2 linked regions of the Struthio camelus genome follow. The protein of the gene in region 1 interacts with the protein of each later gene in a pairwise test. Links are inferred from orthologs where the notes say so. Each region holds a gene or a part of one and is shown in the gene's direction. Other genes may lie near its edges.

The links. The genes of interacting proteins can lie anywhere in the genome.
Region 2: the proteins of PAK5 (region 1) and UXT interact in binary tests that used the Homo sapiens proteins (3 or more experiments, as listed by UniProt). The two-hybrid records come from large-scale screens. The link is inferred for Struthio camelus from reciprocal best matches to the Homo sapiens genes PAK5 and UXT.

What each region holds. Positions count from the first base shown.
Region 1 is NC_090944.1:129,342,570-129,352,392, forward strand, and holds the start of PAK5 (serine/threonine-protein kinase PAK 5), read left to right. Parts: upstream 1-3,747; 5' UTR 3,748-3,847; intron 3,848-3,860; exon of another isoform or gene 3,861-3,986; intron 3,987-9,823.
Region 2 is NW_027182705.1:15,474-25,296, reverse strand, and holds the start of UXT (protein UXT), read left to right. Parts: upstream 1-3,908; 5' UTR 3,909-4,037; coding exon 4,038-4,105; intron 4,106-6,320; coding exon 6,321-6,402; intron 6,403-7,656; coding exon 7,657-7,721; intron 7,722-9,823. UniProt on the Homo sapiens protein: Involved in gene transcription regulation. Acts in concert with the corepressor URI1 to regulate androgen receptor AR-mediated transcription. Together with URI1, associates with chromatin to the NKX3-1 promoter region.

The sequences.
Region 1 (9,823 bases):
CTTTTGCCAAGTCACTGAGGCAATTTCTTCATTTCCTCCAAATCACACTTGAAACTAAAGATAAAATAGCAAAACCTTGATTTTTCTCCTACCATCAGCTATACGTACAATGTCAAGATTTGACAAGCAACACCTTGTGTTACAGACACACATCACTTGCTGGTTTAAAACTAAAAAATCTTTGCTGCCTTATACTGCGTTATTTCTGATACAGTCTGATACATCAGTATATAAGTCTCCAATCCTGCAATGAAGTCTAAGTCCAAGATTTATTTTATTTTTAATGAAATGCTTGACTTTTTTTCCTTTTTCTTTCCCAGAAGCTGAACATCCTTCAGTGGCAACTGAAACGTTGCTCCTGGCTGCTAAGACCGCTGAGACTCAAACAAGCCAAACGAAATCAAAAGCAACAGGGTGACTTCAACGGGGAGGGTCTCTCGTCTCGGTTGTGGGTCGTGGCTATGGGAACACAAGCCGAACCACACCGGCTGAGGTTAAATCAAATCCTGGGCAACAGAGGCACCCACTCAGGGGCAGCATGTGCTGTGCGCACCCAAAACTTGTTTTGAATTTCAGATTTAGGAGTGTGAATTCTGGTCCACCATATTTCTGAATAGCTTTATCCAATATCTGTGATTGTGGTCATCTGCACCTAGTCTTCCTTTTAGCTCCTGTGCTCCCACCGATGCAGTAAGGAGAGGACTCCCTCTTATCCTGGCGATAGTCACCGCTGTCATTTCCAGTTTTTGAAGACAGAGCAGACGCTTTCTGAACAGCCAAATGCAATGTTCTCTCAAGAGCAAAGGGAGCTTATTTAACCTTGCAGCATTAGGTAGAACAGCAGTTTAGGGGAAAAGCAAGGAAGATGAGATGGAAGCAAATGTTATGGATAATGGAAGAGTAAATTTCTGATGGATTTTTTTCTTGTTAATGTAGGTTTTTTAGCACATATGGAAACCTGTTCAGAGCTCGGGTGAAGAGCTGAGGGCCATTAGAGCCTCAGTCTTTGCACCTCCCTGCACTGCTGCGTGTCTGAAAAGGGAAAAGGGCCCCTCTGAGACATTAAAGGCGATAAGGTCTGCGGTAAGTGCCGAGAGCTATGATTAACTCTAATGAATGGCAGTTGTGGGTTCAGAGATTATCACAAAAGGCCTAGCTTTCAGTGCAGCATGGTTAAGCTGAAGTAAACAGGGGGCCAGTGAAAAACTGCAGAAAACTACAGTGCCGAGGGAGAAAAAAGGCCATGAAAACCAGGGCAACTTTTACTGAACCCGATCCCTCCACTGCAGCCACGGTGTGGGTGGTGCAAGATGAGAAAAAAGACGTCAACCTTGGCAGGTCCTTGGTCTGTCAGCTCAGGTCTAGGCAAGGTCTTTGGCCCCGAGCCCGGCCGGTGGGTGATGCTATGTGCAATGCGCCCGGGGTGTGTTGCCTGGCCGGGGGGCCCAGGGAGCTGTTTTGGGGAGCACCCTGCGTCTGAGAGCCGCCAGGCTCACTGGGAAGTGGGCAAAGGACCTGCTGGTGCAACGCCTTCTGGCCATCGTTCTTCCCTCAGCCCAGCTTGCTTTCGCTTACGTTGTCATATTTCCCCATTTTTTTCTCCAGTTTTAGCATAATCTGAGTGACTGACTGTCACTTGCAATGATATGAAAGAGGGATCTCACCTCCTGCTCTGAACAGCGTCTCACCTCCTCCCGCCAGATTAAAAATAAATTGGAGCAGGGAGGGCCGTTCGCACGGGGTGGGCTGGGCTGTGGTGGGTGCGGAGCCTCCCTTCTCCCCGCTCCCCGTTCCCGCTGCCCTTCGGGGCAAGGCTTGGCTGCACGTGTTATTTGTAGAGCGACAGTCGTTGAGTGCCGCTACCTACTCGAGGAGGCAAAATGACGACTGTAACGGCGATCGCTGGCGGGTATGAATCTATCTGAGGAGAAAAAGGGATTCTCGAGACCATCGCTTCTCCAAGCAGGCGGGTTATGGGCATGTCTCTCTCTTTGCTAGCACGGCTGCCCTGTGAAAATTGCGGCTGCCCTACGCAGCTCTAATGTAAACCTTTACGACGTTTCTGTCATGCACTCTCTACTCCGCAGCATCGTAAGTGCATTTCAACAAAAGCCTACATCAAAGAAACCAGAAATGACATTTAATTCTAACTTGTTACATATAGGACCACCTCTCTCTCAGACCAGGCTGTATAAATCAAGCCATTTTCAGGCTTTTCCTTCCAGATATCTTATGCTTTACATGACTCTGAAAAACACTTTGCTATTAGCGTTCAGTATTTCTTGGTTTATGGTCACACATGAGTGCGACCACGGTATTTCTCTCCTGATTTAACATTTACTAAGATTGATAGGTACCCTTATTAAAGGCAATCTTAATCTTTCTTATGGAATGTTATATAAAAACGTAGGCTTAAAACAGCTTTCAGAGGCAGGCACAAATTGCAGGCAGTAATACACCTAAATTACAGAGGATAGACATTTATTTTGCTTTCGTACTTCTCTGATTGCTTCCTTCCCATTGGTTCGCCTAAACTGGATTTATGTCTAGGGTCTGTCCACTGCTCAGGGAGCTCTTACAGATAATAAAACATGTCGGAGCAGGTGTTGGTGTAAAAAAAACAAAAACAAAATAAAAACAAACCAAATAAAACCCAAGGACCAGGTTCCACGCAGGGAGCCTGGGGAGAAATACGCGGCGCCTTTACAGCTCTTTCTGAGCCTCGCCTAGGTACGCTGGCTTTACCCCGCGGGAACGAGCGCCGCCTCCTCCTCCCCTTTCCAGTCTTCTACAATTCAACACGCTCCTGTCATCCGCACGGAAGTGCGGCGCTCCCCTCTCGAACGTGGCATGGCTCCTGGCCTTGGCGGCCGCTGCTGAAGCTCCCTGCCACGAGGCAGCATCGCCCTGCGCCTGCTTCGCTTAGTGCCGCTGCGGGCTGGGCGCCGAAGTGCAGCCTAGGAACTGAGCGTGTTTCAGGTTTTGTCGTTTGCTTTGTTTATCTGCCATCTCGGCGTTCGCGCTGTCAATTAAAAAAAAAAAAATGTTACGGTCTGAAGCAGAGGAGTGTGCAGACACGTGAGTATCACCTAGCGAGAGGAATGGGAACTGGTTACAAGTAACAGTGACCTCTGACACTTCTAAACCAAAATTTCTGCCCGCAGGCATTATGACTGAAGATGCCCACGTGCCCTGTTTGATCCGTGGCGTTGTTTTTGTGCACTTGGACAATGGTAGCCCTCCTCACCCCTCAGAACTGCGCTTTGTTAAACGCCTTTCGCCGACAAATTACACAGGGAAGGTAGGACACGCCACGGCCGTACAGCGTCGCACAAGTCCCCCCGCGCGCACTGGAGAATCCGCACCGCCGCGCGCTGAAACAGCAGGAGCTCCTGTCTGCTCATACGTTGTTGCCTAAAACAAAAGGAATAGTGGACGCAATTAGTACTGGTTAAGGAAAAGGAGTGGGTGGAGGGTTTGATGCACGGGTGGGCGGGTGGACGCACAGGTGGACGCCTGGGCGGAGAGATGGGCGGGGGGGTGCATGGGGGCTGCACGGGTGGATGGAGGGGGCGTGTGGGGGGCTGCACGGGTGGGCCCGGCGGAGCGAAAGCGCGGGTGGGCGTGCGCGCGGCTGGCAGGAGGGCTGCCCGCGCGGGCGGGCGCACAAAAGCGCCAGGTCGCCCTCCGCGCGTGGGCGGCGCGGCGGGCGAAGGGCCCCGCCCCGCGCGGGGGCGGGCGGCACCTGCGGCCGGGCCGGGCCGGGCCGAGCCGAACCGGGCCGAGCCCGGATGTAGCCGGCGCGGGAACATGGCGCTGGGGGCGGCGTGACGGCGGCGCCGCCGAGGTAGGCGCGGCGCGGGGCGGCCGCGGCGCAGCGCAGCGCGGGGAGCCGGGGCCGGCGGAGGCTGCAGCGCCCGCGGCGCGGAGCCGGCTCGTGGGTGCCCTCTCCTCCTCGTCAGGCGCTTTATGAAGGGTAGATATAGGTGAGCTCCGCTTATTCGGTGGGCGAGAGGTTTTTGTTTTTTTTTTTTAGTGACAATGCCTTTTTTCCCCTTTCCCCCCCCCTTTTTTTTTCCTTTCTCTCTTTCTTTTTTTTTTTTTTAAGGCGTTTTGCTTTCTGGCAGTCTGCTTTCCCGTGGAAGTTGGTGCCAACTTTCTTTGGAGGTGGTGCCCCTTCCAGGTTTCCCCTCGGCGAGCCGGTACCCGTGGCCGCCGTATGTCGATAACGGCTTTTTTTTTTTTGGGGGGGGGGGGAAGCCCTCGCTCGTGGGCGCTTGTGCGTGTGAGGGGTTGGAAGCGCCTGAAACCCGCTCGGCTCTTCTGTGCTTCTGCCGCTCGTCGCTGCAGAAGGTGAACGGCGCGGTGACTGACTTGCTCAGATTACGGTTACGATCAAAAAAAAGGTTGTTGTGTGAGGGCTTTTTTTTTTTTTTTTTTTTGTTCGTTTGGTTGGTTCCCCCCCCGGGGCGGGCAGACCCTCGGTGTTGATGAGACCCTGAGAATTTCAGGACGAACCAGCCGCTAACACGCAGGCTGCCTGCCTCCCTCTTTGTTACGCACCGGCCTTGGGTTAAAATAAAGAAACAATGGATTCCCCCCCCCCCCCCCAAATGCTCAGCATTAAACTAACGCGGCTGTCACTGCAGCTAAGGACAAAATTCCCACCAACTTGCGAGGCACCAAAGGGCAGCAGCGAGCCCTTGTGATGGTCTTGCCCTTTAGAGCCTTTTTTTTTTTTTTTTAATAGGCTTTAGCATTTGGAAAATGAGGGAACAGCATTAGTAGTTGTGATAAGGTGGCTCTCCATGGCCTGCTGATATGTATGATATATAAACATATATAGGTGCACTGTATACTGAGATGACACTGAGGCATTGTTGCTAGTCTGTTTATTGCTAGCGCCTTTATTGTACTTTAAACTTTAAATAACGCTGCCTAGGACAGCAGCAGAAACTTGGGCTCCCCCTCCCCGTGCGAGAGTCTGTGTTGATGGCTACGGGGAGGTGGCAGCTCTGTCACCGCCACCGTTGAGGACAGGCTTCTTGCTGCACGGAGGGTGTTTTTGCAGGAGCAGGAGAATTGCTCGAGAGCTCTGTCAGTCTAATGCTGATGATGTTTTTTTTCCCCCCTGACAAGGGGAATGGGATTAAAGCCCCAGGTGCACAGGTTTCCACTCCTCCTTTTCCCACCCCGTGCAGGAATTTGACTCGCACGCAACCGCCTGCGCTTGCTCGCGGTAGCAGGGCTGCCGGTGTTGTCGGTCCCCGGCATCCTTGCCGTTCTTCCCGGCTGGCTCGCGTCTCCAGAAGTTAATTTTGGGAAAAAAGCTTTGAGAGGCTTTTCCCTTTGCTCTCAATTTACAGCTCACAAAATGACCCTTTGGACTGGTCGTTTCCTCCTGACGAGGTACTTCTGCGCGTTACCTTCCCGCAACAGGCTGCCGCTCTCCCGTGGGGCGGGGGGACTGGCAGGGCCGGTGACCATCAGGGCAGCAAGCCGGGTCTGGTGCTGCCGCTCCGGTGAAAGCTTTGAGAACTGTAGGTTGCCTTTTGGCTTGCTGGCTTTTTAAAATTATTATTATTTAAGGTTTTTTTTTTCTTTTTTGGTTTAGTTTGTTTCAGGTTGATGGGAAGTCTTTGTTCTGCATGGAATTACATTTTTGCTCTGCAAAACAATTAGTCTGAAGTAAGCCAGGTGAAAACATGGTGTGAATTTGGGGGAAAGGCAGTATCTGTCCTCTTGAAAATGCTGAAGCAAAACTTTCTTCTCCTGCTTCAAACACTTTCTGTGAATGGTTTTGATCAAGGTGAAGCTGCACTTTTTAGAAGAGAAAAACTTTCATCAGGAGATTTTAGACCACTCTGCACCGAAGCAAGGCAGGATTATGGCAGAAGCTCAGAGTGGCATTACTGGTTTTTTGCACTTTTTTTTTTTTTAACGTGATCCTAAGGAAATGAGGCTTATCCAGTCACTCCGTGCATGCATATGTGTCTGCCTGTCCTTCAGCTGTAGTGGATGTTGAACCATGTTTAATGGAGAGTCTCAAGAGTAATTGTCTGTGTGTGGAGGAGAGGCCACGTCGGTGCTGTCGCCGAGGCTGGGCTACGAGCCGTTGGAGAATCCCCTCGGCACGGCCCCGCCTGAAGCCAGGCCTAGAAAACCCCATTGCTCAGGGACTTGCTTGGTTACTTTGGTGCCCCAATTAGCTTCCAGGTGACGCTTTTCTGGTCGCCTTCATCAACCGTGAGCGTTCACAGCAGATGGATATTTAGATTTCTCTGAAATCTCGGGTTCCCAAGGGCTAATCCTAAATAAGCAGCATGGAAATTGGTAGCGAGCAAGTTTCTCGCCAAGTGTTTTATTTCACAAGTATTGCTTCAGCACTAGGGAACAAAAGCATAATTCAGCCTTCGGAGGACTCGCACTGCTGCTGTCGCGCGCAGCAAATGCTGTTACCTCGCCAGCCTCAACTCTTGCCATCAGGCACCTGAGAGCAAACTTCTCACCACATTACTTGGTGATAACTTTGACCTTCACGTGGCCTCGTCCACCTCGCCTCTGACCCCAGGTTCTGTATTGAAGTAGGGGAAACAGTATGCACAAAACCATTCTTTCTGACATCAGTTGGCGTATGTGATTTGGGCTTAAAGCCCAGTTCAAGGATAGCTCCAGTTCGTATGGCTTAAGGCGTTGCCCAAGAGATGACGTTAACACAGATCTGTCATTGGTAGCGTGCAACTGCAACAAGGTATGGTTAAAAGAGGAAGAAAAACAGAGTGGGGGAGCCTCCATCTCTCACCCTCCTCTCTGATCACACTCGGACTTGGCACTTAAATCCAGTTATTACTTTGAAGCGGCTCCAGTTAAGGATCTTGAACGTTTGGCATGCACTTGTTCGAATTCCAAAATTCATTCTGATTTTTACTGTTTTACTCGGCAAAACCTAAAAACGGAAGTGTGGCCGAGTGGCATACACTGAAACTGCTAACAGGTGTCCGTGGGTACGCTCGGGCTTAACCAACAGCTGCGGCGTTTCTGGCATGTGTGTGAACTTCTAACAAAAAAACCTCGTGCTAAAATTTCTCCCCCGGGATATTCAAACTGTGCTGCTTGTGTTAACTTTTTTTACTCACGGTGCCGTTCCTCTTTCCTGATAGTGTTTCTGGGGTTGTCTCTGCTTTGGTTCTTGCTGAAGTCGGTGGCGTTTGGTTGTTCAGTCTGCCGTAGCATTCAGCCACGTTTTCCCCAGATTTGGTGGAAGCCGAATGAGCCCTCAGCCATTGGCCTTGCAGAAGATGGTTACTCATTACAGCCAGGCACGAGAGGAAACGCTGCTGTTGGAAATCCCACACCGTTGATGTTTCTTACACCTGGAGGACGTATACTTTTTTTTTAACATCCAATTATAGTCTATTAATTTTTTCCACTAATTGTAATCTGTTAAACACTTCCAAACAATCTTACTGTGCTCAGTAGCCTTTTAAAGCATGAAAAGAATTTTTTTTTTTTTTTTTTTTTTTTTTTTTTTTACAACTTGCTCTAAAAATGATCGGCATAGCCAATTGAGCCTTGTTTCCTATGGCTTTCTCACTTGTGGTTGATCTGTGTGATTTCCCAGGTGTCCCGTATGGGCTTGTCTCATGCTGCAATCTCCTGCTCAATAGGACTTTCATAGGGTATCTGCTCTCCAGCTGCCTAAATCCAAAGCTTGTAAGGACTTGATGTCTTTGAGATTACCCTCCTCCTAAATTCAGTGTCAGTTGGCCATCAGGTTCAGTAGGGAGGCCTGACTGATGTGCAAGCACAGTTGCATCAGCCTCATTCTTGAGGGGGAAGAGCTGGAAACTGAGAAGTTTCAAAAACGTTGACAGCTGTGAACAAAAAGACAATAAAGAGGCCATTTAGAAAAATAGAGCAAATTTCTGTGCACTCTCTTAATGATATTTAATGTTCAGGCAACTCTAATTAAGCTTCTCATCCATCAGTCCACACTGATTCCCTGGAGACTCTTTGTTCCTGCTGGCATTTCAGCCTGCCTTTCACCAAACCCAGCAGGACGGTGGGGCTTGGTGTTTCATTTGGACGGCTATCTCCACAGCCAGAAAGGCAAAATATTTTCAGTCAAAACGAATATCTAGAGTTTCTTCTTTTTTTCCTGGGAGGGATGAGTATTGTGGGGAGGGGGAGAGGGAAACAAAACAAAACCCCACCCGGGCTCAAGGAAGTGAGATGTTCGGGCTCTCCGGTTTGATGCGAGTTGTTCTTTGGGTTTCTGCTCTCTCGGCTCTCAAAGCAGGCCTCCAACCATGAGCTAAATTGCCATCCCCGTTATCTCGGCTAGAGCATTGTCAGACCCTGCTAATGTGGGAGAGGGGAGCAGAAACAAGCAGCCGGTCCGGTAACCTTCCCATGGCGTTGCTCCTTCTTGGGGTCAGCGGATGATGCCTGGGGGCTGGTTTAGGTTTACAGCGTCCCCTTGGGCTTCCTGGCGTGGCTTGGAGGGCAGCACCGGCACAGCGTTGGGTTTCTTGGGCAGTTCAACCTGCTGTTGAAAGCAGCTGTCTCTTGGCCCCGGCACAAAATGTAGGTTCAAGGGCTATCCTCGCCGGAGCGCTCTGTGGCCGCACGTGCTTGCGAAGTGTGTGCTCCCGTTATGTCGCGTATAGCAAGCTGTGACAGACGAAGCCAGCTATTTTACATCTTTCCCAACTACTTTTTTCTGGGGCAAGCGAAAACGCTACTGCTTTTGGAAGAGGCACCTAGTGGAAGTACAAAGGTAATCATGTCTCAGAGCAGACAGTACTGGGATACAACTTCTTAAATCAAACCAGCAAAACAAGAAGTGGTGCATGAATTATGTTTCATTCTCCTTTGATAGGCGAGACTGCTGTTTTTTTCTTGCTGGCAGTTCTTGTACCCTGAACAAAGATTTATTAAAACAAGAGTGAGTGAGACCTGTGTATACTGGTTGCTATTTATGTAGCCAGAGCTGCTATGATTGTGGGCCTGCTGTGCTGGGGGCTATACTATAGGACATGTAGTGAGACGCCGATGCTGCCCTGGAGGAGCCTGCACCATCGGGCAGGCTGGTGCTGTTTGTGCACATGTGGTCGTGCAGAAATGAAGATACCCAAAGCGTGCTGGAAGGGAGCGAAACGGCCTGCTCGGGTCATATGACGATGGGGTGGTAGGGCCAACGTTGAATCCGGGCTCCTGGGCCATTGCTCTGGTCACCGTGGTGCTGTGGGGGTGGGAGTCTTGATTCTGCTGAACAAAGATGCTGCTCCAAAAATCAGTTAAGCCAAAGATCTGAGATACCAAAAATAGCTTTACAGATTTTTTTTCCTTTTTCTTACTTGTGTTTTAGTTTGATTGCTCTCTGTTGGAGGCAGCTGAGAAGTGAAAGAGCATACTGCAACTAAAGGCAAGGGAATAGTAAAAATATATATCCAGTCACCTCTGATTAAAGAAAACCACCACCGAACTCTACGCATCTGACAAATCATTGTAGAAACATACAGTAATGCGAAATAGCAAGGTAAATAAAAATGTGCAATGTCACTAAAATCCACCCTTAACAAAGATTTCATTGTTTTCATGGCAATTAAGGTACCCCAGAAAGGGAGCATGGGGAAGTGACTGGTGACAAAGAGAGGACAAAAGGAATGACAGTGAACAAAAACTGGAACAAACAAATGCCATAAGAATTATCCTGTTGATAGTTGCTGTAAACCTTTTATTGCTATGTGCTCTGCTACGCGTGAATAATTCATCCACCCCAAACTGGTGGCAATCCAATCCATGCAGTGTCTTTTTGTCT
Region 2 (9,823 bases), on another chromosome or scaffold:
GGAAATGATCTAAGCATGTGAAGAAGGGGCCCAGGCATCCAGGGAAGGGGCCCAGGTGTCTGGGAAAGGGACCCAGGCATCCGGGAAAGGGGCTCAGGCATCCAGGGAAGGGGCCCAGGTGTCCGGGAAAGGGACCCAGGCATCCGGGAAAGGGGCTCAGGCATCCGGGGAAGGGGTCCAGGTGTCCGGGAAAGGGGCCCAGGTGTCTGGAGAAGGGGCCCAGGCATCCGGGAAAGGGACCTAAACATCCAGGGAAAGGGGCCCAGGCATCCAGAAAGGTGCGCAGGCGCCCAGGAAGGGGGCCCAGGTGTCCGGGACAGGGGCTCAGGCATCCGGGGAAGTGGCCCAGGAGTCCGGGAAAGGGGCCCAGGCACCCAGGGAAGGGACCTAAGCAACCGGGGAAGGGGCCCAGGCATCCGGGAAAAAGGGCCCCGGCATCCAAGAAAGGGGCCCAGGCATCCGGGGAAATGATCTAAGCATGTGAAGAAGGGGCCCAGGCATCCGGGGAAGGGGCCCAGGCGTCCGGGAAAGGGACCTAAGCATCCAGGGAAAGGGCCCAGGCATCCAGGAAAAGGGCCCAGGCATCCGGGGAAGGGGCACAGGCGTCCAGGAAAGGGGCCCAGGTGTCCAGGCAAAGGGCCCAGGCATCCGGGGAAGGGGCCCAGGCGTACGGGGAAATGGGCCCAGGCGTCCGGAGAAGGGCCGAGGCCTCCGGGGAAGAACCCAGGCATCCGGGGAATGGGCCCAGGCATCCGGGGAAGGGGCCCAGGCATCCGGGAAAGGATCTAAGCATCCAGGGAAAGGGCCCAGGCATCCGGGAAAAGGGCCCAGGTGTCCAGGGAAGAGGCCCAGGCATCTGGGGAAATGATTTAAGCATCCGGGGAACGGTCCAGGCCTCCGGGAAAGGGACCTAAGTGTCCGGGGAAGGGGCCCAGGCGTCCAGGAAAAGGGCCCAGGTGTCTGGGGAAGGGGCCCCGGTGTCCGGGAAAGGGACCTAAGCATCCAGGGAAAGGGCTCAGGCATCCAGGAAAGGGGCCCTGGCATCTGGGAAAGGGCCCAGGCATCCGGCATAAGGGGCCCAGGCGTCTGGGGTAAGGGGCACAGGCGTCCGGGGAAATGATTTAAGCATCCGTGCAAGGGGCCCAGGCCTCCAGGGAAGGGGCCCAGGTGTCCGGGAAAAGGGGCCCAGGCGTCCGGGGAAATGATCTAAGCATCCGGGGTAAGGGGCCCAGGCATCCGGGCAAGGGGCCCAGGCGTCCGGGAATGGGCCCAGGCGTCCAAGAAAAGGGCCCAGGCATCTGGGAAAGGTCCCAGGCATCCGGTAAAAGGGCCCAGGTGTCCGGGGAAGGGCCCAGGCATCCGGGAAAGGATCTAAGCATCCAGGGAAAGGGCCCAGGTGTCCGGGAAAAGGGCCCAGGCGTCCGGGGTAAGGGGCACAGGTGTCCCGGAAAGGGGCCCAGGCATCCGGGTAAGGGGCCCAGGCATACGGGGAAGGGGCCCAGGCGTCCGGGAAAAGGGCCCAGGCATCCGGGCAAGGGGCCCAGGCATCCGGGGAAATGATCTAAGCATCCAGGGAAGGGGCCCAGGCGTCCGGGAAAGGGACCTAAGCATCCAGGGAAAGGGCCCAGGCATCCAGGGAAGGGGCCCAGGTATCCAGGAAAAGGGGCCCAGGCATCCAGGGAAGGGGCCCAGGCGTCCGGGAAAGGATCTAAGCATCCAAGAAAGGGGCCCAGGTGTCCGGGGAAATGATCTAAGCATCCAGGGAAGGGGCCCAGGTGTCCGGGAAAGGGACCCAGGCGTCCGGGAAAGGGGCTCAGGCATCCGGGGAAGGGGCCCAGGTGTCCGGGCAAGGGGCCCAGGTGTCTGGAGAAGGGGCCCAGGCGTCCGGGAAAGGGACCTAAACATCCAGGGAAAGGGGCCCAGGCATCCAGAAAGGTGCGCAGGCGCCCAGGAAGGGGGCCCAGGTGTCCGGGACAGGGGCTCAGGCATCCGGGGAAAGGGCCCAGGCATCCGGGGTAAGGGGCCCAGGCGTACGGGGAAATGGGCCCAGGCGTCCGGAGAAGGGCCGAGGCCTCCGGGGAAGAACCCAGGCATCCGGGGAATGGGCCCAGGCATCCGGGGAAGGATCTAAGCATCCAGGGAAGAGGCCCAGGCATCTGGAGAAATGATTTAAGCATCCGGGGAAGGGGCCCAGGCGTCCGGGAAAGGGACCTAAGCATCCAGGGAAAGCGCCCAGGCATCCGGGGAAGGGGCCCAGGTGTCCGGGAAAGGATCTAAGCATCCAAGAAAGGGGCCCAGGTGTCCGGGGAAATGATCTAAGCATCCAGGGAAGGGGCCCAGGTGTCCGGGAAAGGGACCCAGGCGTCCGGGAAAGGGGCTCAGGCATCCGGGGAAGGGACCTAAACATCCAGGGAAAGGGGCCCAGGCATCCAGAAAGGTGCGCAGGCGCCCAGGAAGGGGGCCCAGGTGTCCGGGACAGGGGCTCAGGCATCCGGGGAAAGGGCCCAGGCATCCGGGGTAAGGGGCCCAGGCGTACGGGGAAATGGGCCCAGGCGTCCGGGGAAGGATCTAAGCATCCAGGGAAGAGGCCCAGGCGTCCGGGGAAATGATCTAAGCATCCAGGGAAGGGGCCCAGGTGTCCGGGAAAAGGGCCCAGGCACCCAGGGAAGGCACCTAAGCAACTGGGGAAGGGGCCCAGGCATCCGGGAAAAAGGGCCCAGGCGTCCAGAGAAAGGGGCACCGGTGTCCGGAAAAGGGCCCAGGCATCCAGGGAAATGATCTAAGCATGTGAAGAAGGGGCCCCGGCATCCTGGGAAGGGGTCCAGGCATCCGGGAAAGGGCCCAGGCGTCCGGCATAAGGGGCCCAGGCGTCCGGGAAAGGGGCCCAGGTGTCCGGGGTAAGGGGCACAGGCGTCCGGGGAAGGGCCCAGGCGTCCGGGGAAATGATTTAAGCATCCAGGGAAGGGGCCCAGGCCTCCAGGGAAGGGCCCAGGTGTCCGGGGAAAGGGGCCCAGGCGTCCAGGGAAATGATCTGAGCATGTGAAGAAGGGGCCCAGGCATCCGGGAAAGGGGCCCAGGCGTCCGGGAATGGGCCCAGGCGTCCAAGAAAAGGGCCCAGGCATCTGGGAAAGGTCCCAGGCATCCCGTAAAAGGGCCCAGGCGTCCGGGGAAGGGCCCAGGCGTCCGGGGCAAGGGGCACAGGTGTCCAGGAAAGGGGCCCAGGCATCCGGGTAAGGGGCCCAGGCATACGGGGAAGGGGTCCTGGTGTCCGGGAAAAGGGCCCAGGCATCCGGGCAAGGGGCCCAGGTGTCCGGGAAGGGGCCGAGGTGTCCGGGCAAGGGGCCCAGGTGTCTGGAGAAGGGGCCCAGGCGTCCGGGAAAGGGACCTAAACATCCAGGGAAAGGGGCCCAGGCATCCAGAAAGGTGTGCAGGCGCCCAGGAAGGGGGCCCAGGTGTCCGGGACAGGGGCTCAGGCATCCGGGGAAAGGGCCCAGGCGTCCAGGGAAGGGGCCCAGGTGTCCGAGGAAGGGGCCCAGGTGTCCGGGAGAGACCCAGGCATCCGGGGAAACGGGCCCAGGTGTCCGGGACACGGGCCCAGGTGTCCAGGAAGGGGCCCAGGCGTCCGGGGAAGGGCCCAGGCGTCCGGGAAGGGGCCCAGGTGTCCGGGGAAGGGGCCCAGGCGTCCGGGAAGGGGCCCAGGCGTCCGGGGAAGGGGCCCAGGCGTCCGGGGAAGGGCCCAGGTGTCCCGCCGCCCCCCCATCCCCCGTTAAGCCGAAACAACGTCGCGTTTCTCCCCGATTCCCCCCCAAAACCCACCGCCCCCCCCCCGGGCTCCCGCCGCCGGCGGCGGCCGAACCGCGGCGCGCCGCGATGACGTCACCGCGGGGGCGCCGGCCCGGCCAGGCGGCGCAGCCGAGCGCCGAGCGCGCCGACCGGCCACAGGCGCGCCCAGCCGCGCGCCGATAGGCTGTGGCGGGCGCGGCGCGCTGACGTCACGGCGCGCTGACGCGGCGGCGCGCTGACGTCACGGCGCGGCCATGGCGGCCGCCGGCAAGGTGCGGCGCTACGAGGCCTTCGTCAGCGACGTGCTGCAGCGCGACCTGCAGTGCGTGAGCCCCGCCCCCTCCCCCCTCGGCCCCGCCCCCTCCCCCCTCGGCCCCGCCCCCTCCCCTCGGCCCCGCCCCCGCACTCCCCCCGCCCCACCCCTTCTCTCCCCCTCCCCCTCGTGGGCCGCCGCGCCGCCCCCTCCCTCCTCACGGCGGATCGGCCACGCCCCCCCGCCCCCCTGGCCACGCCCCCCCGCCCCCTCCCCGGCCACGCCCCCTGCCCCCCCGCGCCGCTGCCCGCCCCCCCCCACCCCGCACAGCCAGCCCCTCCCCGCCCACGCGCTCTGGCCCCGCCCACGCGCTCTGGCCCCGCCCACGCGTTCTCTCCCCCCGCGCTCTGGCCCCGCCCACGCGCTCTGGCCCCGCCCACGCGTTCTCTCCCCCCGCGCTCCGGCCCCGCCCACGCGCTCTGGCCCCGCCCACGCGTTCTCTCCCCCCGCGCTCTGGCCCCGCCCACGCGTTCTCTCCCCCCGCGCTCTGGCCCCGCCCACACGTTCTCTCCCCCGCGCTCTGGCCCCGCCCACGCGTTCTCTCCCCCCGCGCTCTGGCCCCGCCCACACGTTCTCTCCCCCCGCGCTCTGGCCCCGCCCACGCGCTCTGGCCCCGCCCACGCGTTCTCTCCCCCCGCGCTCTGGCCCCGCCCACGCGCTCTGGCCCCGCCCACGCGTTCTCTCCCCCCGCGCTCTGGCCCCGCCCACGCGCTCTGGCCCCGCCCACGCGTTCTCTCCCCCCGCGCTCTGGCCCCGCCCACGCGCTCCGGCCCCGCCCACGCGTTCTCTCCCCCCGCGCTCTGGCCCCGCCCACGCGCTCCGGCCCCGCCCACGCGTTCTCTCCCCCCGCGCTCTGGCCCCGCCCACGCGTTCTCTCCCCCCGCGCTCTGGCCCCGCCCACGCGTTCTCTCCCCCCGCGCTGCGGCCCCGCCCACGCGCTCCGGCCCCGCCCACGCGTTCTCTCCCCCCGCGCTCTGGCCCCGCCCACGCGTTCTCTCCCCCCGCGCTGCGGCCCCGCCCACGCGCTCCGGCCCCGCCCACGCGTTCTCTCCCCCCGCGCTCTGGCCCCGCCCACGCGCTCCGGCCCCGCCCACGCGTTCTCTCCCCCCGCGCTCTGGCCCCGCCCACGCGCTCCGGCCCCGCCCACGCGTTCTCTCCCCCCGCGCTCCGGCCCCGCCCACGCGTTCTCTCCCCCCGCGCTCCGGCCCCGCCCACGCGTTCTCTCCCCCCGCGCTGCGGCCCCGCCCACGCGTTCTCTCCCCCCCGCGCTCTGGCCCCGCCCACGCGTTCTCTCCCCCCGCGCTCTGGCCCCGCCCACGCGTTCTCTCCCCCCGCGCTCCGGCCCCGCCCACGCGCTCCGGCCCCGCCCACGCGCTCCGGCCCCGCCCACGCGTTCTCTCCCCCCGCGCTCCGGCCCCGCCCACGCGTTCTCTCCCCCCGCGCTCCGGCCCCGCCCACGCGCTCCGGCCCCGCCCACGCGTTCTCTCCCCCCGCGCTCTGGCCCCGCCCACGCGCTCCGGCCCCGCCCACGCGTTCTCTCCCCCCGCGCTCTGGCCCCGCCCACGCGCTCCGGCCCCGCCCACGCGTTCTCTCCCCCCGCGCTCTGGCCCCGCCCACGCGTTCTCTCCCCCCGCGCTGCGGCCCCGCCCACGCGCTCCGGCCCCGCCCACGCGTTCTCTCCCCCCGCGCTCTGGCCCCGCCCACGCGCTCCGGCCCCGCCCACGCGTTCTCTCCCCCCGCGCTCTGGCCCCGCCCACGCGCTCCGGCCCCGCCCACGCGTTCTCTCCCCCCGCGCTCCGGCCCCGCCCACGCGCTCCGGCCCCGCCCACGCGTTCTCTCCCCCCGCGCTCCGGCCCCGCCCACGCGTTCTCTCCCCCCGCGCTGCGGCCCCGCCCACGCGTTCTCTCCCCCCCGCGCTCTGGCCCCGCCCACGCGTTCTCTCCCCCCGCGCTCTGGCCCCGCCCCCGCGCTCTGGCCCCGCCCACACGTTCTCTCCCCCCGCGCTCCGGCCCCGCCCACACGTTCTCTCCCCCCGCGCTCTGGCCCCGCCCACACGTTCTCTCCCCCCGCGCTCTGGCCCCGCCCACGCGTTCTCTCCCCCCGCGCTCTGGCCCCGCCCACGCGCTCCGGCCCCGCCCCCCGCCCCCCCATCCACATCCCACCTCCCGGCCCCGCCCCCGGCCGAGGCCCCGCCCCCGCTGAGGCCCCGCCCCCCCCCCCGCAGGCGGGTGCTGGCGCAGCGGGAGGCGGTGTGCGAGCAGCTGGCCCAGGTGCTGCAGCTGCGCGCCGCCCTGGAGCGCCTCCAGGTGGGCGGGGCCTCGGCCGAGGGGGCGGGGCCTCGGCCGGGAGGGGGCGGGGCCTCGGCCGGGTGGGGGGCGGGGTCAGCCCGGCTGCGCTGCCGGGGGCAGGGGGGGGTGCTGCTGCTATGGGGGGGGGCTGGGGGCGGGGCCACGATGGGGGCGGGGCCACGATGGGGGCGGGGCCACGGGGGGCGGGGGGTGTGGGGGGAATTGGGGGGGATTGGGGTCTTGGGGGGGATTTTTGGGGGGGGAATTGGGGGAGTTTGGGGGTCCGGAGGGTGATTTTGGAGGAATTTGGGGGTCTGGGGGGCGATTTTGGGGGGAGCTGGGGGGATTTGGGGGTCCGGAGGGCGATTTTGGGGGGAGTTGGGGAGATTTGGGGGAGAATTTGGGGGATTTGGGGGTCTGGGGCAGATTTGGGAGTCTGGGGGGGATTTTGGGGGAATTTGGGGGTCTGGGAGGCGATTTTGGGGGGAATTGGGGGGATTTGGGAGTCTGGGGGGATTTGGGGGGGAATTGGGGGGATTTGGGGGTCTGGGGAGCGATTTTGGGGGGAATTGGGGGGATTTGGGAGTCTGGGGGGATTTGGGGGGGAATTGGGGGGATTTGGGGGTCTGGGGAGCGATTTTGGGGGGAGTTGGGGGGATTTGGGGGTCTGGGGGGCGATTTTGGGGGGAATTGCGGGGATTTGGGAGTCTGGGGGGATTTGGGGGGGAATTGGGATTTGTGGGTCTGGGGGGTGATTTTGGGGGGAATTAAGGGGATTTTGGGTCTTGGGGATTTTGGGGGGAGTTGGGGGGATTTGAGGGAAATTGGGGGGATTTGGGGGTCTTGGGGGGATTTTGGGGGGGAACTGGGGGATTTGGGGTCGGGGGGATTTAGGAATTTGGGGAAAATTGGGGGGATTTTGGGTCTTGGGGATTTTGGGGGGAATTGGGGGGATTTGGGAATTTGAGGGAAATTGGGGGGATTTGGGGTCTTGGGGGGAATTTTGGGGGGATTTGGGGGGATTTGGGGTCTTGGGGATTTTGGGGGGAGTCGGGGGGATTTGGGGTTGGGGGGTTTGGGGGGAATGAGGGGGATTTTGGGTCTGGGGGGGATTTGGGGGTCTGGGGGGGATTTGGGGTCGGGAGATTTGGGGATTTGGGGGGAAATTGGGGATTTTGGGGGGGATTGGAGGGTCTGGGGGGGATTTGGGGGTCTGGGGGGGGGTCGGGGGGGGCATTTTGGGGCGAACCGGGGCGGTTTTGGGGCCGGCAGGAGGCGGCCGCCCCCCTGCGCACCCAGGTCGACCTGGGCTGCAACTTCTACGTCGCCGCCGAAGTGTGAGTGACCCCCCCCCCCAAAACCCACCCCCGGGACCCCCCAAACCCACCCCGGGACCCCCAAAATCCACTCCGGGACCCCCAAAAACCCCCCGGGACCCCCAAAATCCACCCCGGGACCCCCAAAAACCCCCTGGGACCCCCAAATCTTCACTGGGACCCCCCAAACCCACCCCGGGACCCCCAAAATCCACCCCGGGACCCCCAAAAACCCCCTGGGACCCCCCAAATCTTCGCTGGGACCCCCCAAATGCACCCCAGGACCCCCAAAATCCACCCTGGGACCCCCCAAATGCACCCTGGGACCCCCAAAATCCACCCCGGGACCCCCAAAAAACCCCTGGGAACCCCCAAATCTTTGCTGGGACTCCCAAAACTCCCTGGGACCCCCCAACCCCCCCCCGGACCCCCCAATATCTCCTCTGGGACCCCCAAAACTCCCTGGGACCCCCAAAATCCACCCCAGGACCCCCCAAATGCACCCCGGGACCCCCAAAATACACCCTGGGACCCCCCAACCCCCCCCGGACCCCCCAATATCTCCTCTGGGACCCCCAAAACTCCCTGGGACCCCCAAAATCCACCCCAGGACCCCCCAAATGCATCCCGGGACCCCCAAAATACACCCCGGGACCACCCAAACCCCCCCAGGACCCCCCAATATCTCCTCTGGGACCCCCAAAACTCCCTGGGACCCCCAAAATCCACCCTGGGACCTCCCAAATCCCCTGGGACCCCCCCAAACCTACCCCAGGCCCCCAAAATCCACCCCGGGACCCCCAAAAAAAACCCCTGGGAACCCCAAAACCCACCCTGGGACCCGCAAAATCCCCTCTGGGACCCCCAAAACCCACCCTGGGACCCGCAAAATCCCCTCTGGGATGCCCCAAAACCCCCCCCAGGACCCCCCAACCCCCCCCAAGGACCCCCAAACCCCCCCAAGGACCCCCTAACCCCCCCCAGGGACCCCCAACCCCCCCCCAAGGACCCCCAAACCCCCCCAGGGACCCCCAACCCCCCCCCAGGGACCCCTCAAACCCCCCCCAGGGACCCCAACCCCCCCAGGACCTCCCGAAACCCCCCCAGGACCCCCAGGGCCCCCCCAGGGACCCCCAACCCCCCCCCAGGACCCCCCCAACCCCCCCCAGGGACCCCCAACCCCCTCCAGGACCCCCTCAAACCCCCCCCCAGGGACCCCAAATCCCCCCCAGGGACCCCTAACCCCCCCGGGGGGACCCCAACCACCCCCCAGGATCCCCTCAAACCCCCCCAGGGACCCCAAATCCGCCCCAGGGACCCCCAACCCCCCCAGGACCCCCCAAACCCCTCTCCAGGGACCCCAACCCCCCCCCCAGGACCTCCCGAAACCCCCCCAGGGACCCCCAACACCCACCAGGACCCCCCAAACCCCTCCCCAGGGACCCCCAACCCCCCCCAGGACCCCCCCCAAACCCCCCCAGGATCCCCAAACCCCCCGCAGGGACCCCAACCCCCCCCAGGGACCCCCAAACCCCCAGGACCCCCCCAAATCCCCCCCCGGACCCCCCCAAATGCCCACCAGGGACCCCTAATCCCCCTGGGGGGACCCCAACCCCCCCTGGACCCCCCCAAATTTCCCCCAGGGACCCCCAACCCCCCCCAGGACCCCCCCCAAATCCCCCCAGGGACCCCAAATCCCCCCCAAGACCCCCCCAACCCCCCCCAGGGACCCTCTAACCCCCCCCAGGGACCCCAACCCCCCCCAGGACCCCCCCAAATCCCCACCAGGGACCCCAAATCCCCCCCAGGGACCCCCAACCCCCCTGGGGGGACCCCAACCCCCCCCAGGACCCCCTCTAACCCCCCCAGGACCCCCCCAAACCCCCCCAGGGTCCCCAAACCCCCCTGGGGGGACCCCAACCCCCCCCAGGACCCCCTCTAACCCCCCCCAGGACCCCCCCAAATCCCCCCCAGGGTCCCCCAACCCCCCCCAGGACCCCCCCAAATCCCCACCAGGGACCCCAAATCCCCCCCAGGGACCCCCAAGCCCCCTGGGGGGACCCCAACCCCCCCCAGGACCCCCTCTAACCCCCCCCAGGACCCCCCCAAACCCCCCCAGGGAC